Styela clava: one gene and its partner. The protein of the gene in region 1 purifies or fractionates together with the protein of each later gene. This does not show direct contact. Links are inferred from orthologs where the notes say so. Each region holds a gene or a part of one and is shown on either strand. Other genes may lie near its edges. The genes, in order: tRNA pseudouridine synthase Pus10-like and protein Abitram-like.

Region 1 (11,715 bases):
TAAATTTCAAGTCTCTAAGTAGTGTCGTTCTCGAGAAGAAGATGAAAATGTAAAATCCTATATTGCTCACTGGAGCGTATCGCCGAGGTCACTCATGCGTATCCTTGACATATTGTTTCCGGAACATGTCCATTAATCATTGTTATGAATTTCAACCCAATACCATGTATCAATTTTGAGAAATTGCAAAAAAACTGAAAACGCGTTTTGCTCACTGGAGCGTGAAAGCGTGGTCAGTCATGCATAAAATTTGCATTTTATTGCTAGCTGAGAACTTCTGCACATTTGAGGTGAATTTCAAGTTTGTAGGACCAATTTGAAAAAAAAATAATAAAAATAAATAATAACTAGAGCTGCGTGCAGCTTTAACAGGCTTCCCGCGTAAAAAAAACTGAAGACGCGTTTCGTTCACTGGAGCGTGAAAGCGTGGTTAGTCATGCATAAAATTTGCAGTTTACGATGGGGGACTTATTATCTGCATGTGATGTAAATTTCAAGTCTCTAAGTATTGTCGTTCTCGAGAAGAAGATGAAAATGTGAAATCCTATATTGCTCACTGGAGCGTATCGCCGAGGTCTCTCATGCGTATCCTTGACATATTGTATCCGGAACATGTCCATTAATCATTGTTATGAATTTCAACCCAATACCATGTATCAATTTTGAGAAATCGCAAAAAAACTGAAGACGCGTTTTGCTCACTGGAGCGTGAAAGCGTGGTCAGTCATGCATAAAATTTGCAAGTTATGATGGGAGACTCATTATCTGCATGTGATGTAAATTTCAAGTCTTTAAGTATTGTCGTTCTCGAGAAGAAGATGAAAATGTAAAATCCTATATTGCTCACTGGAGCGTATCGCCGAGGTCACTCATGCGTATCCTTGACATATTGTATCCGGAACATGTCCATTAATCATTGTTATGAATTTCAACCCAATACCATGTATCAATTTTGAGAAATTGCAAAAAAACTGAAAACGCGTTTTGCTCACTGGAGCGTGAAAGCGTGGTCAGTCATGCATGAAATTTGCATTTTATTGCTAGCTGAGAACTTCTGCACATTTGAGGTGAATTTAAAGTTTGTAGGACCAATTTGAAAAAAAAAAATAATAATAATAATAATAATAATAATAATAATAATAATAATAATAAATAATAATAATAAAACACAGGAATACAATAGGTTCCCTGCTGACAAGCAGCGGGAAGCCTAATTAACGTCGTCATTGTGTAACAATACATGTATATGCCGAGGGAAATTTTTGATTTAAGGAGAATAAACACCGGCGTAAAGATGTTCAAAACACGCCATGCTGACGAAAAAAATCGGCGATTGTAACAAAATAAAATCGCGCACGTTATTAGCGGCCTGTTAAGTCTTCCAGAAATGTCAAAAGAGAAAAGATTCGACCCCTAATTTATTAATATGTTCGTCAAGTGTCAAATTTACAGCTTTAGTATGAAATTCAGATTCATTTATGGCTTGTGTTAATCCTATTAAAAAAGGTTCAGCATTTTGAATAAGTAAAGTACTTTTAACTTGCCCAGGAATATTAATCTGAAAGTAACAATTTTAACATTTATTTTGGGGCTCCGCAAATAATATTCAACTTTTCAAGGGCTCCGCAACACCAAATGTTTGAGAACCCCTGCTCTATGGGATTATTGGGATACGTTTTTTGTGTGCTGATTTGTCCTCTAAGACATATTGAAAACCCATACTACTTAGTTCTGATCTTCGTGTCCAAATGTTTAAACATCGCGCTCGTGTTTGATTTCATTTGGTATTGTTTAAGTGGGTATATTCTCTCGGTGAGCTATGTCGAGGAATCGAGAATCGGGATCGAAAATTTTAAGAATCGAATACTTGTAAGTAGTCATACTCACGACACAACTTTAACTGATGGGTCAAATTTTATTGCTGAAATGTAATCAGGGTGTGTACAGAATTGAATTATGATAGTAAATTCTGTCATAGGCCTAGGCTTTGTAACAAAAACAAAATGTTTTGTGGGACAACAATTTCAAAAAGCACTCCTGTTCGCGGCTATGGAGCCTTCTTCAAAAAAGTTTTTATTACACTCATTTCATTAATTCTCCATTGTATAGCTGCGAATGACGGCGTTTTGACTTGTCAGCGCGTTATACCAAGATAAGCCACCAGCCTAGGTGGGTTTGTTTATTTTCCGCAATGAAGGCAAATAAGATTGTAATATTTGAAAAATATATCCAGTTTATGATTTTAAAATGTTTTATAACTGTTTTCCTTTTTTGTACAAAAACCACTAAAAAAATCCTGCATCAAAACCTGAACGTAATTTCAGTTCATTGCTCTTACGGGCTCTCAAAATCTAGCAAAAAAAGTTTTTTTTCGAAATGGGGTAGTTAAAGCAAATAAATTATCTCAAATATATTCCAAAACAGAATCTACCGTGTTTCCCGAAAATAAGACCTACCCTGAAAATAAGACCTAGCCTGAATTTTAAAAATGATTTTAATATAAGCCCTCCCCTTAAAAAGAGACCTAGTCAATAAAGTGAATTTATTTTTAGACCTAGTCGATAGCAAGAAATCTCTACTACGCGTTGTAAATAATTGATAATCTATGTTTTAAAGTTATTTTGAATAAAAACTCTTATTTATAAGTAACTGGATATAGGTTTCCATATTTTGTATATTTGAAAATCTCGTAATTCTCCACTTTGTAATTTTGTTTTTGATTAATGAATCCCCAGAAATCAAGCCCTAGTGTTATTATGCGGAAGGAAATTGAAATAAAACCCAGTCTTATTTTCGGGGAAACACGGTATGCTATTTTATATAAAAAAGCATGATAATACTGATTTTGGAGTAAGCTTTGGCAGTAATAGAATTGAATAGAATAAAATCATTAAATATTTGAAGGTTACAATTGATGACGAACTGAGATCAAAACTCGTATATGTAATATTTTACAGATTAAGGCAGATTGGTGGTATATATATATGTTGTTAAGCAACTTTTATTTCAGTTTTTCTAATTGAATGTATAAGGCGCGGCGGTGTGGCTCAACGGGATAAGCGTTAGGAATACGCTCGCCACCGCACCTCTAATTACTCTGCGTGGGTTCGTAGGTTCGAATCCCATGCAGGGATGGTTATGTGCGAGAGGATCGCTGGACTCGACTCCTCGCCGTCTTATCGACTTTCCTCTCCCCCGGGATAAATATGTAAATCCTATCTTAATGCTGAAGTACTGGCAATGCCGAGGTACTGGCATATATTCAGGTCAAGGCCCAGCAACAAAGTCTTTCTTTCAGGCAGTTTGAATTTTGGAAAATTGCGAACACCGACGAGCAGTCAAATACATTTTCTCGAAATCCCACCTTTTACTTCACAATCACATGGCCCGCCAGACTAGGTGGGCAAACTTTTCGGCCCTTGGTTTAAAAACCTTGCCCACCCCTGGACCATAGATGTTACATGAAAACAAATTGTTATGCATTGTCTCTGCCTGAACTCATCGAACAATGTCAGTTGTAGCAAGTACATAAGGATAGTTACTGTGTATTTTAATATTTTCACCACTTATTGTTAGTAGTGCATGTTATTTGCCTGAAACAAGGTCGTTGTCCCAATTCATTTCCTATATGATATATTTTTCTCACTCAGTGTAGCTCGTCTTTGCCGTTCTTTGTTAGTTAGAAATTTGGTTTCATCACATATACTTGCTTTAAGGTTTCAAGTGTAATTCGTTATTTGGATCAATTCGATTGTGCAACTTTACAATTTAACAATTGGCATTCAATACATTGTGTGCTTTTTGACCTCTGGAGGAGTCAAGATCGGAGTTACACTCTGTTAACGCGTGTTCAATAACACAAGTACATAAGGATAGTTACTGTGTATTTTAATATTTTCACCACTTATTGTCAGTAGTGCATGTTATTTGCCTGAAACAAGGTCGTTGTCCCAATTCATTTCCTTTATGATATATTTTTCTCACTCAGTGTAGCTTGTCTTTGCCGTTCTTTGTTAGTTAGAAATTTGGTTTCATCACATATACTTGCTTTAAGGTTTCAAGTGTAATTCGTTATTTGGATCAATTCGATTGTGCAACTTTACAATATAATAATTGGCATTCAATACATTGTGTGCTTTTTGACCTCTGAAGGAATCAAGATCGGAGTTACACTCTGTTAACGTGTGTTCAATAACACGGGAGTGTGGACACGCAGATAGGGTCGAATCTTCGTTACCCTATACAGTGTCTCACTCGATCGTGTCACTTGTCGTCAGTCACCTGGCACACTTTTCAATTTTTTTTCAATGAATAAAAACATCACATTATATAACCACAATAGCATAAATATAATTGCATTTTAAAAAAACGAGCACATAATAGTTTTCCACTTCTTCTTATGGATTGACAGTTTACCATTTTTAGTTGCAATAGTCTTTTCACAGTTTATATTATTTTTTATCCTATATAAAAATTGGCAAAATTGAGGCTTTCCATTACGCAGTTTACATTTGTATATAAAATATCTGACACATAATAAAACACAGTTTATACCCTGGTTTTGCCCTACCCCCAATAACATTTCTCTATGTAACAAATTAAGGTTTAATCCATTCTCAACGGTTAACCAAGCGTTAACTATTTCCCAGAATTGCTGCACAAATTCACAGAGATAAAATAAATGTAACACAGTTTCAACATGAAAATTACAAAATGTACAATTTGGACTTTGTGTTTTATTTATTCTATATAGCAGGTCATTAGTGGGCACTGCTCGCAAAACAAATTTAACATGGAATGAACGAAGTCTGGATTCAATAACGCAATAAAAGACTTTTTCATACAATGTCACCCAATTATCTAAGTTCCTGCACAATTCTTTTGACCATTTTTTCTATTTTTTCAGTTGGCGGCAAAAAATTTTCATTACAAAGTTTATCATAAATATATCGAGAGGTTTTATCATTGCTTTTTACATCTTCGATCAGACTAAGAATAAGATGTGGATTGACTTGTGATGTTTTTGAAAAATTAGTTTTCCATTCCTGGGGTATACATGATATCCATTTATTACTGAATTTCGTATGATATCTCAAATTTCACTGTTGTATTTGCATTCATAGGAACTCGTTATCTACCCTGTCCGATGACGCTGTTTAATGTCATTTCTCTGTCACACGTGGCGGCCTACGTCAAGGCTGTCCTGAATAAACTTCGCTCTGAACGGCAATTTTATTGGGGAACACGGTAATATGACATCTTTGCCACTACTGATATTTCACTAGCATTTTGTTAGATATGAATTTTGCCTTCCTTCCTACAGTCTTGGTAGGAGGTCAGCAAGGATCCGCGTGAGCTGCGTCGAGCGTCGGTTTGCCAGAATTTACCGTATTCAGCTTAGGTTTTATATGTTGAGCGATTGTAAGACTGGGAAACTGTCATGTTATGGAGGAGTCGTCTTCCAATTATGGGTTAATAATTGATCAAATGAAGATGGAGATCGAGGAATATAAAGTTGATTCTAGTCGTTTTCGTTCTATTCTTTCGTCCGTTCATTTGCCATCAGAGTTATCAAACATAGGAAAACTCTTGGCAAAGTCATTACAAACAACTTCTGATGCATTGGATGTTATAACACCCTGTGCATTGAATTTAACTTTGGCTTTAAGCGATCTAAGCCAGGAGTTGCAGGAATCTGAGATAACGCTTGATTCAAGTCAAAAAAGAATACAAAATTATAAAAGTAAATTTTCTGATATACTTAATACAAAGGAGTTTTGGCGACGTGAGCTGTCACGACTTGAATCGTTAGAAGAGCAGCAACAGCAAGAGAGCAGCAACACAAAGAAATCAACTTCATTTCATTCAAAAAAGATCAAACAATATGACGCCGAATTACGGTCAAATAAACAATTACTTTCATCAGCTGGTTATGAAGACAATATATCGCATGAAACATTAGTATCTTTAGGAAATGAAGTTTCCGAAATGGAAATGAAATTGAAGCCGTTAAGACTTCAGTTAAATTCATATAAAGATCTGCAACCAAGTCTTGCTCAAGCTCAAATAAAACTTGAAGAAAAGAAAATTGAGTTTAAACAAGTTGATAAAGAATTTTCTGATAAACTTGGTGAAATTGGTGCAAATGCACCTAGTCTATGATTCCTATATTTTACATGTGGTATTGTTTGCTACCAGGTAGCGCCACATGTCTGCATATATTTTGAGGTAAACTCAAATGCCCATACTTATTCCCTGGTTTAAAAATGAGAAATGCATAAATAATTTTCATGTGAAATTGCATAAATGTAAATGCTGATCAGTTCATAAAATAGTATGAACGTTAATGTCTGAATGTGCACTTTTGAAGATGTAACAAATTGGTATCAGACCAAAGCCATTCACTTTTGTCATATACTTGTGATTTTAGGTGTTACATTGGAGTTGACATTTCAGCTCAGGGTCAGAGTTGTGAATTAGCATAAAACATTCAACATTAAAGTTTCTGTGATAAACATGACAGCTATTTCTGATTCATAGTCTTAAAATAGAAAAATATAGTTGGAGATACCTTTGGGAAGCTTATAGAATAGAGTTGGTACTTCAGCCTGTGATCCCTATGTACACCTTCAAGTTTCTTGAATAGTTTAGATATGAAAAGATGGACTGTTATTTCAAAAATTTGCTCAGCATCACTATTATATAGAAAATGTTTTGTTATAGATGCATTGTTAATAATTGATTTTTGGACTGCCCTGTTAAATTTTTTATGGAAGTGTTGCTGTTTTCACTTGAATAGAAATCAATGTCAATCGGGCATTGGCAGGATGTAAATACATGTTTTCTTCAATTTTGTGTATTGGTGGATTCTCCCAGAAATAAAAAGACTCTGTGCAAACCATGTTTCAATCATATATTTACCTTCCTACTTAGTAAATATTTTGCATCAAATCTTTGAGAATGTTGGATAGAATCAACATATGAACTTTGCATATTCACCACATGGACTTGGAGCTTGTTGAATGCTCATATTAAGCTATTCTAAAATGTATTAACATATTTGCAATCAACATTTCTATAAATCGACCATACTGCGTTTTTTATAAGAGTATACGTTTTTTTAGCATATCACTGCCATTTCCTAATTTATTGTTTTTTTTAATAGATAATCATTTGTCACATGGCATCATGATGGGTAAAAATCTATGCCCCCGATGCATTTTTATGTTTCTTAATGTTAAAGATGATGAAATATTGAGGAAATCAGAGGAAGAAATTGAGGAAAACCTCATGTCAAGATGGCCCAGTATATTCTCCAAAGAACAAATACTAGATTCCAGTGAATGTGGCGAAATAAAACATTTTTGTCATTCATGTCTTGGCATGCTGCAAGATCAGTTTCTTCATTCTTCAGTTGAAAATATAGCACAAAAGATACAAACTGAACAATATATGTTTAGAAATTTCAGATTGATGATATCGCAACCAGTCCAATTTATTCTTTTTCGAGCTTTCGTTCAACATCATTATAAGAGTGTTATTTCGGATCACAAGCGAAATGGAAATGGATTAGATGTTAAAGACATTTTCAAAATTGTTCTTGAACCGAAATTGGAAAAAGCTCTTTGTTCAAAAGCAGTATACAATGATGATGCTGAACTTGAAGTTACTGTGGTAATAAAACATAGTTTTACAGAATCTCACTTGCTCCCGAAAATTGAAAAATGTTTACCTGAATGCTTCAAGCAATCTAAAAAAGTATTGGAAGGGATGACTAGGAAGAGACCAAGAAATGATCTGACAATATTTACGTTATCTGCGGTATGTCAAGCTTCATCAAAATTGAGTCCCAAGGTTTTAGACGACTTGATTGAACAAAGTTATTTTCAAAATTCTGTGTTTTTGGACCAAATTAAAATCTTGCGGACGCCCATTTATGTGGCCGGAAGGTATTGCAAATATTCACGTGAACTTTCGCAAACACCATGGATAATATCTGGTAAAAGAATATCCGAAATGTCAGTTCAAGAATATATTGCAGATCCGATTAAACTATTATTCAAAGCAGATTCTTATAATTTTTCATCTTCTGGACGAGAAGATATTGATGTTCGAATGTTGGGTAATGGAAGACCGTTTTTGCTTGAATTAGTGAATCCACGATTATGTATTGAAGAAAAAAACAGAGTTAAAAAATTGCAAACTGAGATTAATGAGGTCACTGATATAATAAAAGTAAGAGATCTTCAAATTGTAAGTAAAAATGAAACGAAAAACTTGAAAGATGGAGAAGAGGGAAAAACCAAATCATACTCTGCTGTGTGCTACACTAAGATTAGTCATTCACGCCCAAAAGTTAACAAGCTAACGTTGAAAAGTAACATACTCAAATTGTCTGAATTGAAAAATATTAAAATTGAGCAAAAGACTCCACTGAGAGTATTGCATAGAAGAAATCTTGCTGTTCGTTCTCGAACTATTTTTGAACTTGATGTTGAGATGATTGATGTAACCGATGCCGCAAAAATTGTTAAAATGCCAAAGTTCATTCCAAAAGAGTATATATTTTTCAAACTATGTATGACAACACAAGCTGGAACCTATGTGAAGGAATTTGTGCATGGAGATTTTGGCCGAACAATACCACATGTTGGAATTTTGATTGGTGCTGACACTGACATTCTTTCACTAGATGTGGTTTCCGTAAACCTGGAATGGCCGCTATCATTGCCGAATTGATGAATCAAGATTGAATTGTATGGTTGTTTTGAAGAAAATTTGATTTTCCAATTTTTTGCAATTGCATTATTTAACAACCAACAGGTGTGTTGGCCTGTTTAAGCACTGTGGAATAGTTATAATCATTCATATGTTTGTGTGAATCATGTATTGCATTGTCTTCAATACAAGTACCTCGGCATTGCCATATACATTCAATTAGGAAAATTAAAATAAAATTTGGGAAACAATATTGTGAAGCTTATTTCTATATATTTATGTCACCATCTGTGAGTAGGAGAACAAAAAATATCCTGTGGACTGTTAGAAAAGCTGGTAAAGTTACCTGCTTTTGAAGTAGAATACTAAACTACATTTTTAGTGATTATAATTTTTTATCGGCTTCCAGGTATATGGCGTGTCATTTTCAAGTTGTCTTGTAAATCCTTTCCTAATCGAGAAGGGTCCATTGGGCCCGCAGTCGCCAAATAGTTTTTTCAATGGCATACGATGTTATTTCCGTTCTATTCATTTCAATATTTCGTCGGCTAGCCGTTAGGTTCCTCTTTATTTGATCTCGCCTGTCTGTGGTGCAGAAAAGTAGAACCACTGCTGTATTTTATATCATCGGCCAATGGACTTCTTCGTGTGCCTCAAAAAGCACTCGCAAATCTGAATTCCGACGTATTCTAAATATCGCTGGAACGTATCAAAGGTTGGCAGGCGCAACTGTGACGGGGTCGCAAAATTGTTACTGTTAGGTTTTCTGCAAGGAGTTGATATCGTTTTTATCCCGGGATAGAGGAAGCCGATAAGATGTGATCTTTGAGTTGGAAAAGGGGGTTTGTTACTGATAAACTATGCAGAGATGCAAAAATAGACTTGGATAAAAAAAAATCTTGCCTTAAGCTTTTGCTCGCCTGATTCTATAATCAGCTTTTTTTTAATTTATTTCTATCAATTATTTTATCGCCCGTCATGCTGATTATGGAGTCGAAATGTACACTTTTCGTTATTCTAGACTTAGAGTTTCATCGCACCATCTATTGTCCTGCGTTTAACATTATAAATGTTTGTCGCTATATGCGGCGGTGTGGCTCATCGTGCTAAGCTTTAGGAATACGCTCGCCACCGCACCTATGATTACTCAGCGTGGGTCCGCAGGTTCGAATCCCATGCGGGGATAGTTATGTGCGAGAAGATTCCTCCACCATTCCTGCACCAGTGTTAATGTACGGGTGCATTTCACGTGTGTATATGTACGTGGGTGTAAAGATAATGGGACAATTACCACTTTAAACACATTGCATTAAGTTTTTTAAATTATATACAAGCACGGCGAAATTCGAGTGCCGCCGTAAGGTGGTTATGTTTTAAATACCTTGCCTGACCCAACCCAAATGAACGAACTAGTGAGACAACAATTACTCACACAAACAAGAAGATTTTTTGAAAAAAATAGACTTTATACCACAAAAGTTTCTAAATAGCCTCACTACAATAAAATAACAGATAATACTCTTATTAATAGGTATGTTGTTCATCAACTACATAAAATACAAAATTCACAACATGTTCCCCAATAACAAAATCAAATTTTTGGATTTTGCACTCCGCTGGCCAAACACAACATCTACCTTAATATAAAATCAAAGTTCCGAACAAAATCATTAACTCATTTTTGCTGATAAGCAGAAGCAATATAAGCAATACTTTTTTATTATTTTTAATAGCCAAGACATGTGTTGTGGAGAAAACATGTTTACCAAGCATGTGACCTAATTTACATGGATAGTCCAAAATAAGAAGTTAGAGTTGATTGACTTCTAATGCATCTTCTGCTATTATACTATTGCTCCTCATGCTCAAATTTTAAATGTTTTTGGCAGTAAGGCCAATAAGATTAGTAAATGTTGAGTGAACTATAACCTGCTTCATTGTGTTGTAAGTAATACTAATCATTACTAAATATTGGAAAACAACAATCAATACCCATGCTGCATTTTGCCCTTTCCAATCTGTTTTTGGCCTCTAATAATCTAGATTCAATGAATTAATCAAAAAATATAAATTCGATTTGACTCAGATTTGATTTTAAATCAGAAGCCTCTTGTCAATCAAGGTTTTTCTTGCTAAGTTGTATCTGCCAAGTATTCCACGAAGAGATTTGAACACCTAAAGATGAATATAGTGATATATTGTAAAATTTAATCTGCATTCAAGAGAATCTGAGTAATTTTGATTATAAACAATAAAGCTCAAGTAAACTCACCCCACCAACAATGTATGTGATGACAGCAGCAAGAACAAAGTTTTTAGATCCATAATCAACCAGAGAAAATAGGAGAATATCAAACACAAGTAAAGCAAACTCATGTCCATAAAACAGGATATCAGCAAATGAGTAAGCATCATCTGGTAAAAAAACACAGAGTAAGAAGGTTATGTACCTGTATCATATGTTCGATTTTAAATACAAACTCATAAATTTCTTCACAATTGTTGGAACATAATGGGATTTGGAATCTACCAATCAAAATACCAGCACAATACCACTGGATTGATAAACAGGGGCCAATAGTGATAAAAGCCTCCAGGAGGGGGCCAAGAGCCATAAAAGGTTGGGAACTACAGCTCTAACATTCGTAGATGACTAGGGTTCTGTTTTTTTGGTCACACAGTATCTAATCAATCTTTTGCTTCTGTCGAGGAAGGGAAGCAATAAGATATTGCTGGAACTAGCGTCACTGAAGAATATCAGATATAGGATGATCTGCTGCTCTTCACAAAGAATATCAGTACTTTTGGCCAATTAAACTTACCAATCGTAAAAAAAGCTTTATCAATAGGTTCTTGAAACTCAATGTTGAGAAGTTTTTCCAGGAATAACTTGTCTCTGACATTGTAATCCAAATCACGTAGCGACTAATAAAACAAAGTTTCATATTATTAACCCTAGAAATCCATGAATGTCAAGCTTAAAAGGTTTTTCCAGAT
Region 2 (12,299 bases), on another chromosome or scaffold:
ACATACAATACATCAAGAGCAGCAAATTTTTCCTAATTAAAATTCAGAAAACTTCTCAAAATATTCAAAAATAGTGAAAAAATTTGATTTATGCCAATATTTATTAAATTTAAGGAAGTATTCAGTTTAATTGTGCCGCTGAATGGTAGGTTGAGCTTTGAAATACTCCAATTGACTTACAAAACTGTCATACAATTCATTCTATTTATCAAAAAACTATTTAGGTAAAACATCAATAAGTCTCTTTTTAATTCCAGGCAAAAGTTTTAAATGTTCTTCTGCACATTTATATAAACAAGATTCAAATTTTTCTTTGGCAGCCGTTTCTCCTAACGCAGATACCTGGTCTTGCGCAACATCTTGGCAAGCCATCATACAGCGCTGTATCCTGTTCTGAAATCTTTCAAGTTCTTGCTTAACATTGTTTTGCATTTCTGCTAGTGGTCGTTGACAGGTTTCAATGCACCTTTGTACCTCTTCTGCACTTGCAGATGTGTTGTCACAACAATTTGCTCCGCAAAGATACGCCTTTTTCTGATATTTTCTGACGTAGTCCCTCTCTATGTCACGCTGCATTTGACTTGCTCCTTTGTCAATTTCTGATAATTTATTTTGTACCTTTTGATCCATGTTGGTGTTATAATAAATAAATTCACTAGAAGAAGCACAAAATGAATGTGAATGAAAATTGAGTTATGACATGTGATCAGGGATAGCGAGGATTGAATACACAATTCTGAATATATTCAAAAATTGTATTTTGAAATATATTATAAAATGGTTTAGGTTCATCAAAGGTTGTGAAATCAATGTACCTATATCAGTGAGTGTGAAAGCAGAAAATGCAGAATATTTTGAAATCGGGAATTTTAATATAAAAATATTTGGTTGATTTTTTCCAATGGATTCAAACATTTAATTCCTCTTGTACATTCATGCATATGATACCCGCCCAGAAATGAGAATATGGTATTTTTGCAAAACCCCAAAGAAAATCACATAATCGAAGCCGTGGACAACACCTTTCCCATAAAAAAATAAAATGGAGGGAGAATGTACTCATATTACAGTATATAATTAACAAGATAATGAAAAGATACATTCACAAAAATGTGATAATAAAAACACAATGAAGGACTTTTTTCCTCTTTCTATACCTAAATTTTACTGGATAAGCAAGTTTGTTTCCATTTTCCTAGCCAAGTGAGATGAAACACGCAAAAGAAAATAATTGCTAAAAAAATGAAAATATATAAAAATGGAAGAAGTTGAAATTAAGAAATATAAACAAAATCAAATAACACAATAATTCAGAGATAATCGTAAATCTAATTTTAAAGTAATTATGTTACCTTATCAAAAAGATGTTGAAAGTTCATACTCACTACATAAGTGAAAATTACTCAAATCGATGTTTCAAACTATGCATAATTTTGATTTGATTCAAAACCCCTTCGACTTACTCTTAAACAGGGACATTCTGAAGAGAGAATTTTTTCATAATTCATTTTTAATTTTTTTCAAATATTCTTCATATTGGGATTCACTCAAAAGATTATTAGTCAAACGTTCTCTCTCTTGTAACTTTATCATGACGACAGCAATATAGCCATTCGTTTCAGGTTTTTCTTTCAAAAGTTCAGGATATTTCAGCAAGTTTTCATTAACTTCGATTAAATTACCACGAATCCCACTGTGCACTGTATATTTTTCTCCATCACTTAAAGTTACAATACAGAGAGGACTTTCTGGATTTAACCATTGTGCTCCTCGTTTACGTTTTCCAGAAACTTTATTATTTGATCGATCACATTTCAATGTGACCTTGAAACTAACTTCTGATATAGTTTTGTCGGGTGAAAATGCAGGATGACTAGGAGCGAGCGTTACGAGGCATATTTTATTCGAATGCCATAGTATTCTCACATCATTTCGGGTAGTTTTAAAGTCTTCGTAGTTTAAAGTCCCACTCGGTAAATTAACTTTGTAAAGTCGTGTAAAATATCGATCAACAACAGATGGGAATGGTGATTCCTCCAGATCAGAATCATTTTGAACTTTATTAACAGCAATCACAGTATCTTCTCTTTTATCTTCTTTATCATTAGCAAAAGATATCAGAGAATCATTTTTATCTGGAGAAAGATTATTCTTATCAGTTTTTATTTCAAGCTCGGTATCGACCACACCCATATTTTGCCCATCATGGGTTTCTTTACTAACCTTCCCCTGAGAAGGAGATGCGCATTCACTCATTTTATTTTTGTTCTCAAGAATCTGAACATTTCTTTCTACTTTGCTGGCATTTTCTGATACTTCTGTAGTATCCATGACAAATTTATTCAAAGTTTTCAATGTACAGATGTAAAATACCGTGAGCTCCAATTAAATTTGACGTAAAAAACGGTCTGTCAGCTCGTTCAGTCGTTAGATATCCCGATATCGTGCAACTTCTATCACTTTTCCTCTTTGAGATCTTTGTATCCAAGACTTTCCAGTGGCTCTTTTTTCATTAAATTTTTCTCCATACGACAATTGAGATAATCTTTAGCTTCTATTCGACAGGCGCTATTGTCTTGTTTATTCCGTTTTAAACAGTTTAGAAACTGGTCTTTAAAAATCACACATTCGCCGAAATGATCAAGTGGAAACGCGCCTTTCATAGGCGGCACGGGCTTGAAAGTTTGTTGGAAAGGGCCCGCTGACATGACAACTTCCGATACGGAATCGCGGAAATTATTCTCCAGTAAGCTAAAGAACAACAGCGACTAAGGAATGTGATCTAGAAAAAATGGACAAAAACTCCAATTGAAAAGAGTGTACGATCTTGGCGACGACCGCGCACATGTTCTACTCATTCATGCGCGACGGTCAAAATAACTTTTATAGATTACAGTGGGGAGGAGGATTGAAGCAGATGAAGTATGATATGATTCTGAATTTAGTTTTTTTTTCATTTTTTTGGAAGATGGAAAAGACGATAAGGCACTTAAATTGAATGACCATTCACAGCTTCTCCTCCGGTTGCCAGTCCAGATCGAATATAGAAATAGCCAATTTCCAGCTTGTTTAATTCGTTCACCTATTACTGTATTACTTCAGACCATAGACTCTACGTTACGCGAACCAGCCTATGACTGCGAAAAGTCACCCAATCTTGTTGCACATCTTACTAATTTTTCACCGGATTCGTATTCATTGGGCAATCAACTTTGTGATGAAAGGCATATTCCCGAAGCTCGAAATGACGCGTCAACATTGCCGATAGCACCATTAAACTGCAGTCATAACGCAGCATTGTTGTAAGGTAATACCACTTATAAAATAACAATATTACCTAGTTTTACCGAATAATCAATATCATCAGAAGGGTCCACGACAAAGAAGATATGGGAACCGCTGTTTTAGACGTTAATCACGGGTCTCTCACGTTTTTTTATTGGTGTTCACGTCAGACAGGCTAACGGTTTGTCAACATTCCTCGTACATACCTACCGGTCGGGGACCAGAAAATCCACGGGCGGTATTTGCAATAAATACTAGCTTCCAACAATTATCACGGTCCGCTAGCTGCTGCATGATCATACTTTCACCTGCACTAAAAATAATTTGCAAGAATTTCTCAATTCACAAGGTAAGATCTATACCCGTCATATTTTACTCTGTACCGTCTCGTGTGCAGTAACAAGACAGAATCCACATATATACCTATTCAACAGACTCTTACATATTTCGAAACTTATACTGCTCCATAGCATACAAAGAACATTTTTATTTTTTATTAAAATGACCAACGTACAAAAAATAATTACATATTGGCACACCCGAAATGATTTCATTGAGAAATAAAAAGACAATGTACTTGAATGAACAGCATCATGATATTATGGTAAAGCAATAGACATGAGAAATGGAAAAGATATGTGATCAGGTAAAAATGTTTTTGGCAAACTTTTCAGATGTAAAATCGCTTTGCTGAGAGAAATTTACTGGTATACAGATCACAATAATTTTTTACAATTGTCAGATCATCCTTTGGCTTCATTTCGATATTACCTGAAGGTAGAAACAGCCTTCCATAATAATGACCTTTACCGTTAGTGATATCAAAAAAGGAATATTGTTACTTATAACGATTCTCTTCCCATAATTTGAATTCAAAATATTTCAAACTGTTTCTTCATGTTAATCACAGACGACCAAATTCACAGTTCCAAATGATTTAAATATAAAAATACCAAGTTTGAATTGAAAAGTAAATTCTTCCAACATCATCTCACCACTACTCTGAAAAGCACCAATGAATTAGCACTGATGAAAAAGTGACAAAATGGCAGTGTACAAGAAGAGTGAAACGTGTTAGTGGAACATTATTATTATTCAAAAAAGTTTGATTCTGTTACTAAAAGTTTAAAACGAAAGAAAATTATAAAAAAAAGATGGAAAAAAAGAAAAATACAAGAGTGTATCATCCGCTTGTGTCATTAGCAGACAATGACTTTGTCGGCAATTGGCATGCAATAAATTGGTGAAATTTCGCATTCTTACATAACCATACTGTTACAACTACATCCCACAGCATTTCATCTGAGCCCTGAAATCTTACTTGTTTTCACATTTCACAGGGTCAGAGGCTTCAAATACCCTACCAGTTGAAGATTCTCAAATACACAAATTAAGGTTATTTATTGCCAATCTAGCCATAATAAAAACACTGTTAGCTTAAACCTGCTTTTTTGTGCATGCGGATACAAATTCAAGTTCACAAAGTCAAAGCTCAGGATCTCCAACCAGTAAAAGATTTCTAAAAATATAGAATAAGGTAGGTTAATGCTAAATTAGCCAAAATAAAAAAGCTCATCGCTTGCGATCAAAAAATGGAATGCAAACACAAAATGAAAAGTCAAATTGCTTGGGTTTGGGTTCAGATGAAAACATTTCTCCAATTACACAGAACTGCAGTTACCCTGACATAGTATTTTGCTCAGGATTAGAACCAACAGTAATCAGTCACCTTCATGTGAACAAGATAAATTCAATCCTTATGTACTACTGTAGCAATAATCATTTTTTATCAAAGTGAGGTGGGTTGTGCAACTTTGGTGTATCAGGTTCAGCAGCTGAGGTCCCTGCAAAATGCTTTTCCTTCAAATGTAAAGCATCTCCGTCACCATTACTTGAGTTGCTTTCCCCAGAAGTATCAGACGGAAGATGTCGCTTCCCCGTTCTTCTTTCTTCCGATATGCAAGCAGATTTCGTGCTGCTGGAACTAACTTCTTTTTCCTGTACAGCAATGCTGATTCCGTCAGTACCAATCAGCTCATTGTCTTTCTGGATTTTATTTATTAAACTATGATTTGCTGAAGGACTGTTGATAATTGTACTAGACATCAAAGCATGTGCTTTTTTCCGCATAACATCATCCTTGATAGAAAAAAATTTTATTCACAGAAAAATTTGATGAATTAAATATCACGCTCTTGATTAACACACATTTTGTGAATAGCATATTACGACATATCAATTTAATATGTAGACTTTCATCTTAATCATTCTATAGTTTGGGTTCTCAAGGCTCGAGTAAAATACATCATATCTAATAAGGCTGAGAATGGTTAATTGGTTAACAGATTAAAAGATAACCCACCTTCAACCATACATGATCCAGACCTTGTTTTGGCGTCAATCTCTTTTTTGCATCAATTGTTAGGAGACCTTTTATCATAGAAATTGCTGCAAAATAAACTAACATTCAAAAAAGAATAAGAAGCAAAATCTATAAATTTTAAAAAATTGCTGATAATAAAAATTAACGAAACATTTCTAAAAAGAGAGAGCAATGTCACCAAAGTACCATTCTTTGTGAGTGTCTAGCAAATGAAATAACCTTATAAAGTAAGGTGTTTGAGATATAAGTAGTTAGTAATTTTACCATTATCTGATACGCTTTTCCATCTATCATTATCAAAATTATAATATGCAGTTGTTATCTGCTGCAGAAGACCTTGCTTTGTATCTTGGCGATCTCTTGAAAATGGAGGATAAGCAACCAAACTGAAAGAGAAAATAATGATCTCTACTTACAAAATAGATAAATGAAGCTCGCAGGTAAATTACAGTATTATGGATGAGAAACAAAGTGGGTCAGTCTTCGAATCTACCCTTACTGACTGTCAGGTCTTTGATCAGGATTCGGGACTCCGTCACTTTTCGCACCACCACGCTTTTTCTGTCGTATCATTCACTGATCGACAATTACCAAAATTGGGTGATAAGCAAGTACTTGTGGTTGTTTGTACAATATTTCAAAGAGGTCAAGAACAAGAAGTAAAGAGTGCATGAAATTCATAGAAGAGGTAACATTTTTAACTACCAATGTAAAGACCTTTAAAACTACAGAAATTACAAAAATATACATGACCAAGAGCCCAATCAATTAAAAATGCCAAACATATCGAAATTTCTGATGAACGAAATATTAAGCTATATTTACAAGCTAAGATATATACCTATATATTGGTTTTCAATTTAGCCAGTTTGGCTCTTCAAGTTGAATAAATATAAAAATCCATACCAGACATATAGTATTACACCAAGACTCCAACTATCGACTTGTCTAGTATATCCTTCATTAGTAGAACTTCTGAATGATTTAACTAATTCTGGAGCAAGATAGGAAGGAGTACCAGCCTGTGTTTTCATCATGGAAGCTTCACCCACGAGCCTTGAAACACCAAAATCTGTAATCTGAATGTATGGAATAAAATAAATGGAACAGAGTTTGCAACGAAATATTGGCTTATCAATTATTTCAACTAAAAAAAATGAGACTATGCTGTGGATCTTGAGTTCAAAACCCATCCCCTACCAATAAATTGGGTATGCAATGCAAACAAGAGGAAGGTACTCACAAAAATAGTTCCTCATAACACATCTGTGGTTGCTCAAGTGTAAACACCTCATACGAAAACATCAAAAGAAACAAAAATCCAATCCTGATTCTCACCTTTATTAGACATTCTTCATCATCAGACATCATTAATATATTCTCAGGTTTCAAATCTCTATGTGTTACATTGTTATCATGTAAATAAGATACAGCGGATAACATTTGAAAAAATAATAATTTTGCAACTGGTTCATCAAAACCTTTCCCTCTTTCAATAATTCTAGTAAAGAGCTCTCCTCCACAGGCTCTGAAATATTAATCAAAACAGATATGGTTCATATTATACATTACGACTTCAACCAAATAGCAGACTATCCAATGATTTTAAAATACAGCGAAGCACAATGATAGGTCCATGTTAGCTTGTTGTGCTCACACAAAAACAGATAATGATGGAATCACAATTAAATTTCTCCCAGCGAATTATGTAATTTATACTGTTCTGGTTATGTATTTTAGTTCTGTTACCGTAAATATAAACTTGAAAACAAAACATTTTACACCCCAAATAAGGTAGTTTCACTAAACTATTTGATAAAAAATAGCTAAAGATGTTTGCAGCCATGGAGTGCCAAAATTTAACAACTATTCTGAAGACATTCCAAAATAACATTTCCAAATATAGAATATATTTTGATTGGGTCACAGAATCGGCAAAAATCATTGTAAAATTGAATATGGTAATGCAGAATAATGAAAGTTTCCAAGCATTGTTTCGAAAAATAATTTGGCATAGGCATGCAGCTAATCTTTATTACATATTTGCACTGCAAAAAACTTCATTCTAGACTTACAGTTCAAGTACGATGTATAGATTTTGAGGAGAATCGATGACGTCATCCACTCTTATAATACACGGATGGCGTAAAGCAAGAAGTAGTCTGGCTTCTTTCAGTACATCTTCATTGATCTAATAAAAAAGAGAAGAATTTTTTCACACGACACTTATTCATGCCTTCTGTCTCGAACAAGGCCATATACAAGCACAACTGATATCTGATGACATGCGAGCTACTATTTTTACACGAACTATAATCATTCAAGTTCGGCATTGCCTACCCAGTTAATTACACCAGCCCAAGTGATGGCGATGGGATTTGAACCTGAGATGCGTGAATTTTGTACCAGGGAAATTATTAATCCTGCCTCCTTGAAGGATGAGGAATCACATTTTAAAGTTTGAAGTGCTATATTATGTCATCCAGGCCATTCATTCACTGAATTGTGAAGAATATTTACGTACTTTGCCTGGATCTCTTCCATGAAATACAGTTTTTTGTTTGTTTATTATTTTTACTGCATGTCTTCCATAACCACCAAATTTTTGCATAGCTTCTCTTACTTCACCAAAGGCACCACTGAAAACAAGAAGAAATAAGATTTTTATTACGCAATGACATTTCAGGATATGGTGTTTCACAAGAAAGCTAACAAGGTCAAAGGTTAATCAAATGGCAAACCATGTTCTCTCACCCAGGTATCAGTCCATATTGGGTATGGGAATAGTTCACCAGTTATTCAGTTCAGATGTATCGATTTGGTGATGGAGGAAGCCAAATCCAAACAAAGCTTATGTTTGCCATTTAAAGACAAGATTATGGCTACAATTTGAGTACAATTTTCAGAGGTGTAGATTTGCAGTTAAAAGCAAAAATTTGGATTTTTTAAATATATATATAACTGTGTCTACCGTAATTAACAATAGGTGGACAAAATAGCAACCGATAAATATATTGACAACTATACCTGAAAGCTTAGAGAAAAGTTGATGAAAAATGTTCATACTTGCCAATAACTTTCTGCATGATATATTTCTCTTTAAATTTTTGAGGAAGATTGGGATCTTCTTCTTTGCTTTTATCAAAGAATAACAAAACTGAAAAAATAAACATTTATTACATACCGGTAAACATGGCGTCAAAATTGACAATGTAGGTCTCAATAAAGAGCTTATATGCTTTATCCAATTCGCCCTTAGCAATTCCTATGTCACTTACACCTATCTGTCACTACTCACTACTATTTCAACTTATAGTTGAAGGATCTGAAACTTGCTTTGAGCAAACTGGATATATTTTATAACAAACAGGACAGAATTTTCAATAAATTGAATATTATATATGTTTTGAATCACATACTACTGTTTGTCAATGGCATCTATTGGTAAAATTCAGTGTTTCTAAAACAAAATTTTCTTTTCAGTTTTGTCCTGATTTGTATTACAGGAAGTACATTGTTTTGGGTTTGAAAAGTTAGTGACTTCTGACTTAGAACATTGACCACGATCCCCAAGATAATTGCTCAATTATCAGATTTAAAGAAATAACTTTGTATTATTGAATCAACACGTCACAACAAAAAAAGCGTTACATAATTTAAAGAATTTTTAGATCATAGATATTATTATTTATCGGAATCATTAATTATGATATTATTCTATTAGTTTTAAAAAAAACTGCTATATAAATTATACTTTTGAGTTATAAGCTAACTTGAAACTTATTTTCTCTATTATAAACTATTTATAACATTCTAATATAGAACAATGATGAAGATAACCACTTAGGAGACACAGCCTTGCATGAATCGTACTTGATAATATTTTACAACTGACCTCTATTTTTATCAGAACTAATTGATATTTCATCTTTATCACAGAGTGGTCTGGAACCTCTCTTGGGAATTTTTTCTCCGTTGATAAAAACTCCGTTCATGCTGGAGTCATCCAACATAACAGTGTACGTGCCTGTGTTACTTTTTGTCTGAAAAAAGTTGTTTAACAAAATAAAGCTTGAAACTATTTTTCTGTTCTTCTATAAAAGATCAAGTAGGAATCGTATAAAATCTAATATTAATATTATGCTTCATTCAGATGTACAAAATTTCCATTCATTCATTTTTGTGCTATTTAAATAATTACCGGTAGGTGGGACTGATATTCAAATTTATACTGTGAGAAAGGGAAGGGATAAGAGGGCAGTTTAATCTTATGATGAACCACACCCTTTCGCCTGGTTAAAATGTCAGGTAGAATAAATTTTTAATACATACCCAGTTTCATACTAATTCAAAAAATAACTCATTAATAATAAATTAAATACTAAACAGCATAGTCAACTTTACCAAAAAAAACAAAAACTTTGACACTTTTAAAATAGGCCTACTATTTAAACAAGTAGGCGGCAAAAATAAACTCGAACTTCTGACTAAAATAAAAAGTACTTACAAAAACCTACCCTTGTGATTGTGAAATGTTTTTTGCTATATGTGGTAAAATGTTGTGTCTGTTTTATTGAAGGAATATCAAACGTATAAGTACAATCCTGTCCTCGACCAAATGTATATATATCTTCCCGTAGGTCTGAAAATAAAATGGGGAAAGAAACATTATGAATAGGCCATAAGAAAAGTATTACAAACTCTTACAAGGTCTCTGCTATAGGAAAACAAGAGCGCTAAATTTTCCTCTGACCAGACTGTTTTTGACCTAGTCGTCTATACACTGATAACAGACTAACTGCCAATACCCCTTTAGTATCACTGATGTTTTATTATTAGAAAATTGGCCATGATGAATCAGTAATTACGAACGTATATTAGACCTAATCATGTTGGTATGGCAGATTGAAAATTTAGGGTTCAAACACCATGGCCATCAATATCATCACACCCAGGCATTAATAAATTAGGCTGACAGTACCAAAACAAAAAAATTCCGGACTTTTCAAAGATTATAGATACGTCTTTATTGACAGCATTAAGTTGCCATTGAAAGGTCAATATATATTATAGTTGATTTTTGTTGTCAATACATAAATATGTCCAAGATTAGTACGAAGAAGAAGTAAAATAGTTTACTAACCAAAAGGATAAAAGCATCTATCAATTGGATATAAAACACCCCATGAAGGTTCATCTGCATCTGCACCTTCATCTGACACAGAGGCTGGTTCCTGTGTTGGCACTGTTTCAGCACTGAACAAGGAAATAAATTAGGGTTAATAATATTTAAAAGGAATAAGAGACCAAGAAAATTCAACAAATCTCAATGGATAAAACAGACCTGTTTTGATTATGAAATTAAAAAAAAATTTACCGTAGGCTTCTACATATCAATAAAAATTAAACCAAAGAGAGATATACCAGACTTGATTAGTATACTAAATATCAACAATTAACGTTAGCACAGTCTGGAATGGCAAAAACCAAATATTATAGTATTCCGAAAAATTTCCTGAATAATAATTTCAAATATGGAATAAATAGCCTATAGAATAATTCAAATAGGGTCATGTAGAACAGATAATATGTAGAAGTTTATGTTTATTCAAAGAATTTCAAATTGATAATGCAGGAGAGTCATAACAAAAAAATGATTAGATTTGTTCTTTATTTTCGAAATCAATTAAAGCTGTTTTTTGATTTTTCAATTTCCTAAATTTTCCATTTGTTTTGAATATCCCTAGACATAGACATCATGATAACTAAGAATTTGGTCAAAGGAGCCATAAATACAATATATGAACTCTTTCTTATATCAGTGAATATCTTATATTATGTGAAAACTCTCAATCAATATACTCCATTTTTAAATTTGTATGTTGTCAGACTAGGACAGGCAATACAGAAAAGAGTCCATCCACTCTCATTAACAATGCGTAAGAAACAGAAATGGCTTAAAATTTAAAACAAATTTTAAGACACATCTTTATATTTTCATCCGCATTACTATACCACTTTTGTAACGCACTACCAGGAACAATGAAGGCTGGTTGAGCTGACTTAAAAGTGGATTAGGAGTACACATCCCCGCATTCCAAGCATATCTATACTTATGAGTTATATATACTGATTAAGGTTTTCAAAAATATTCTTATGGCCTATTTATAACAATTTGAACATATTGTAAATTTTTTCATATTTTGACATGGAATTAACAAAGTAAAAAATCCAAGCTTTGAGTTGTTCAGATATATGAACACACAGATAGACTGGATAGTGTTGGAAGCAGTAGCTAAGAAACACCAGATTTTCAAAGACTTGGCACATGAATACTTGAAATATATAAAGAAAAATGAAAAATGTTAGACTTTTCTAGGGCCCTAAGGGTTGAGCTTGTCCTATTTCAATAGCATGATAAAAATAATAATGAAAGATAAATATAACATGTAGGGTATATTCATTCGAGATGTCGAGTGGGAAAATTTATAATCAACTATAGTGCCATTTAAAAAAAGAATTTAACGTGGGGTCTAAGTTGACAAAAATCCCAACCTTCAATCCCGGACGTTTATGAGATTATGATCCAGCTCAAAAAACCCAAAACCTTTGGTTAAAAGACTGTTAATAA

The links.
Region 2: the proteins of tRNA pseudouridine synthase Pus10-like (region 1) and protein Abitram-like purify together in Homo sapiens (affinity purification with mass spectrometry; 3 studies listed by BioGRID and IntAct, counting the BioPlex papers as one, with this or other methods). This does not show direct contact. The link is inferred for Styela clava from reciprocal best matches to the Homo sapiens genes PUS10 and ABITRAM.

What each region holds. Positions count from the first base shown.
Region 1 is NC_135263.1:15,851,329-15,863,043, reverse strand, and holds tRNA pseudouridine synthase Pus10-like, read left to right. Parts: upstream 1-7,183; 5' UTR 7,184-7,188; coding exon 7,189-8,739; 3' UTR 8,740-8,971; downstream 8,972-11,715. Other genes in the region: HAUS augmin-like complex subunit 1, read left to right, coding at 5,446-6,162; meckelin-like, read right to left, coding at 10,813-10,893, 10,991-11,133, 11,541-11,643. UniProt on the Homo sapiens protein: Protein with different functions depending on its subcellular location: involved in miRNA processing in the nucleus and acts as a tRNA pseudouridylate synthase in the cytoplasm.
Region 2 is NC_135252.1:13,789,742-13,802,040, forward strand, and holds protein Abitram-like, read right to left. Parts: upstream 2,480-12,299; 5' UTR 2,332-2,479; coding exon 1,498-2,331; 3' UTR 656-1,497; downstream 1-655. Other genes in the region: protein FAM136A-like, read right to left, coding at 217-630; serine/threonine-protein kinase Chk2-like, read right to left, coding at 5,065-5,424, 5,648-5,733, 5,933-6,054, 6,575-6,747, 7,007-7,196, 7,744-7,859, 8,193-8,307, 8,735-8,825 and 3 more. UniProt on the Homo sapiens protein: Actin-binding protein that regulates actin polymerization, filopodia dynamics and increases the branching of proximal dendrites of developing neurons.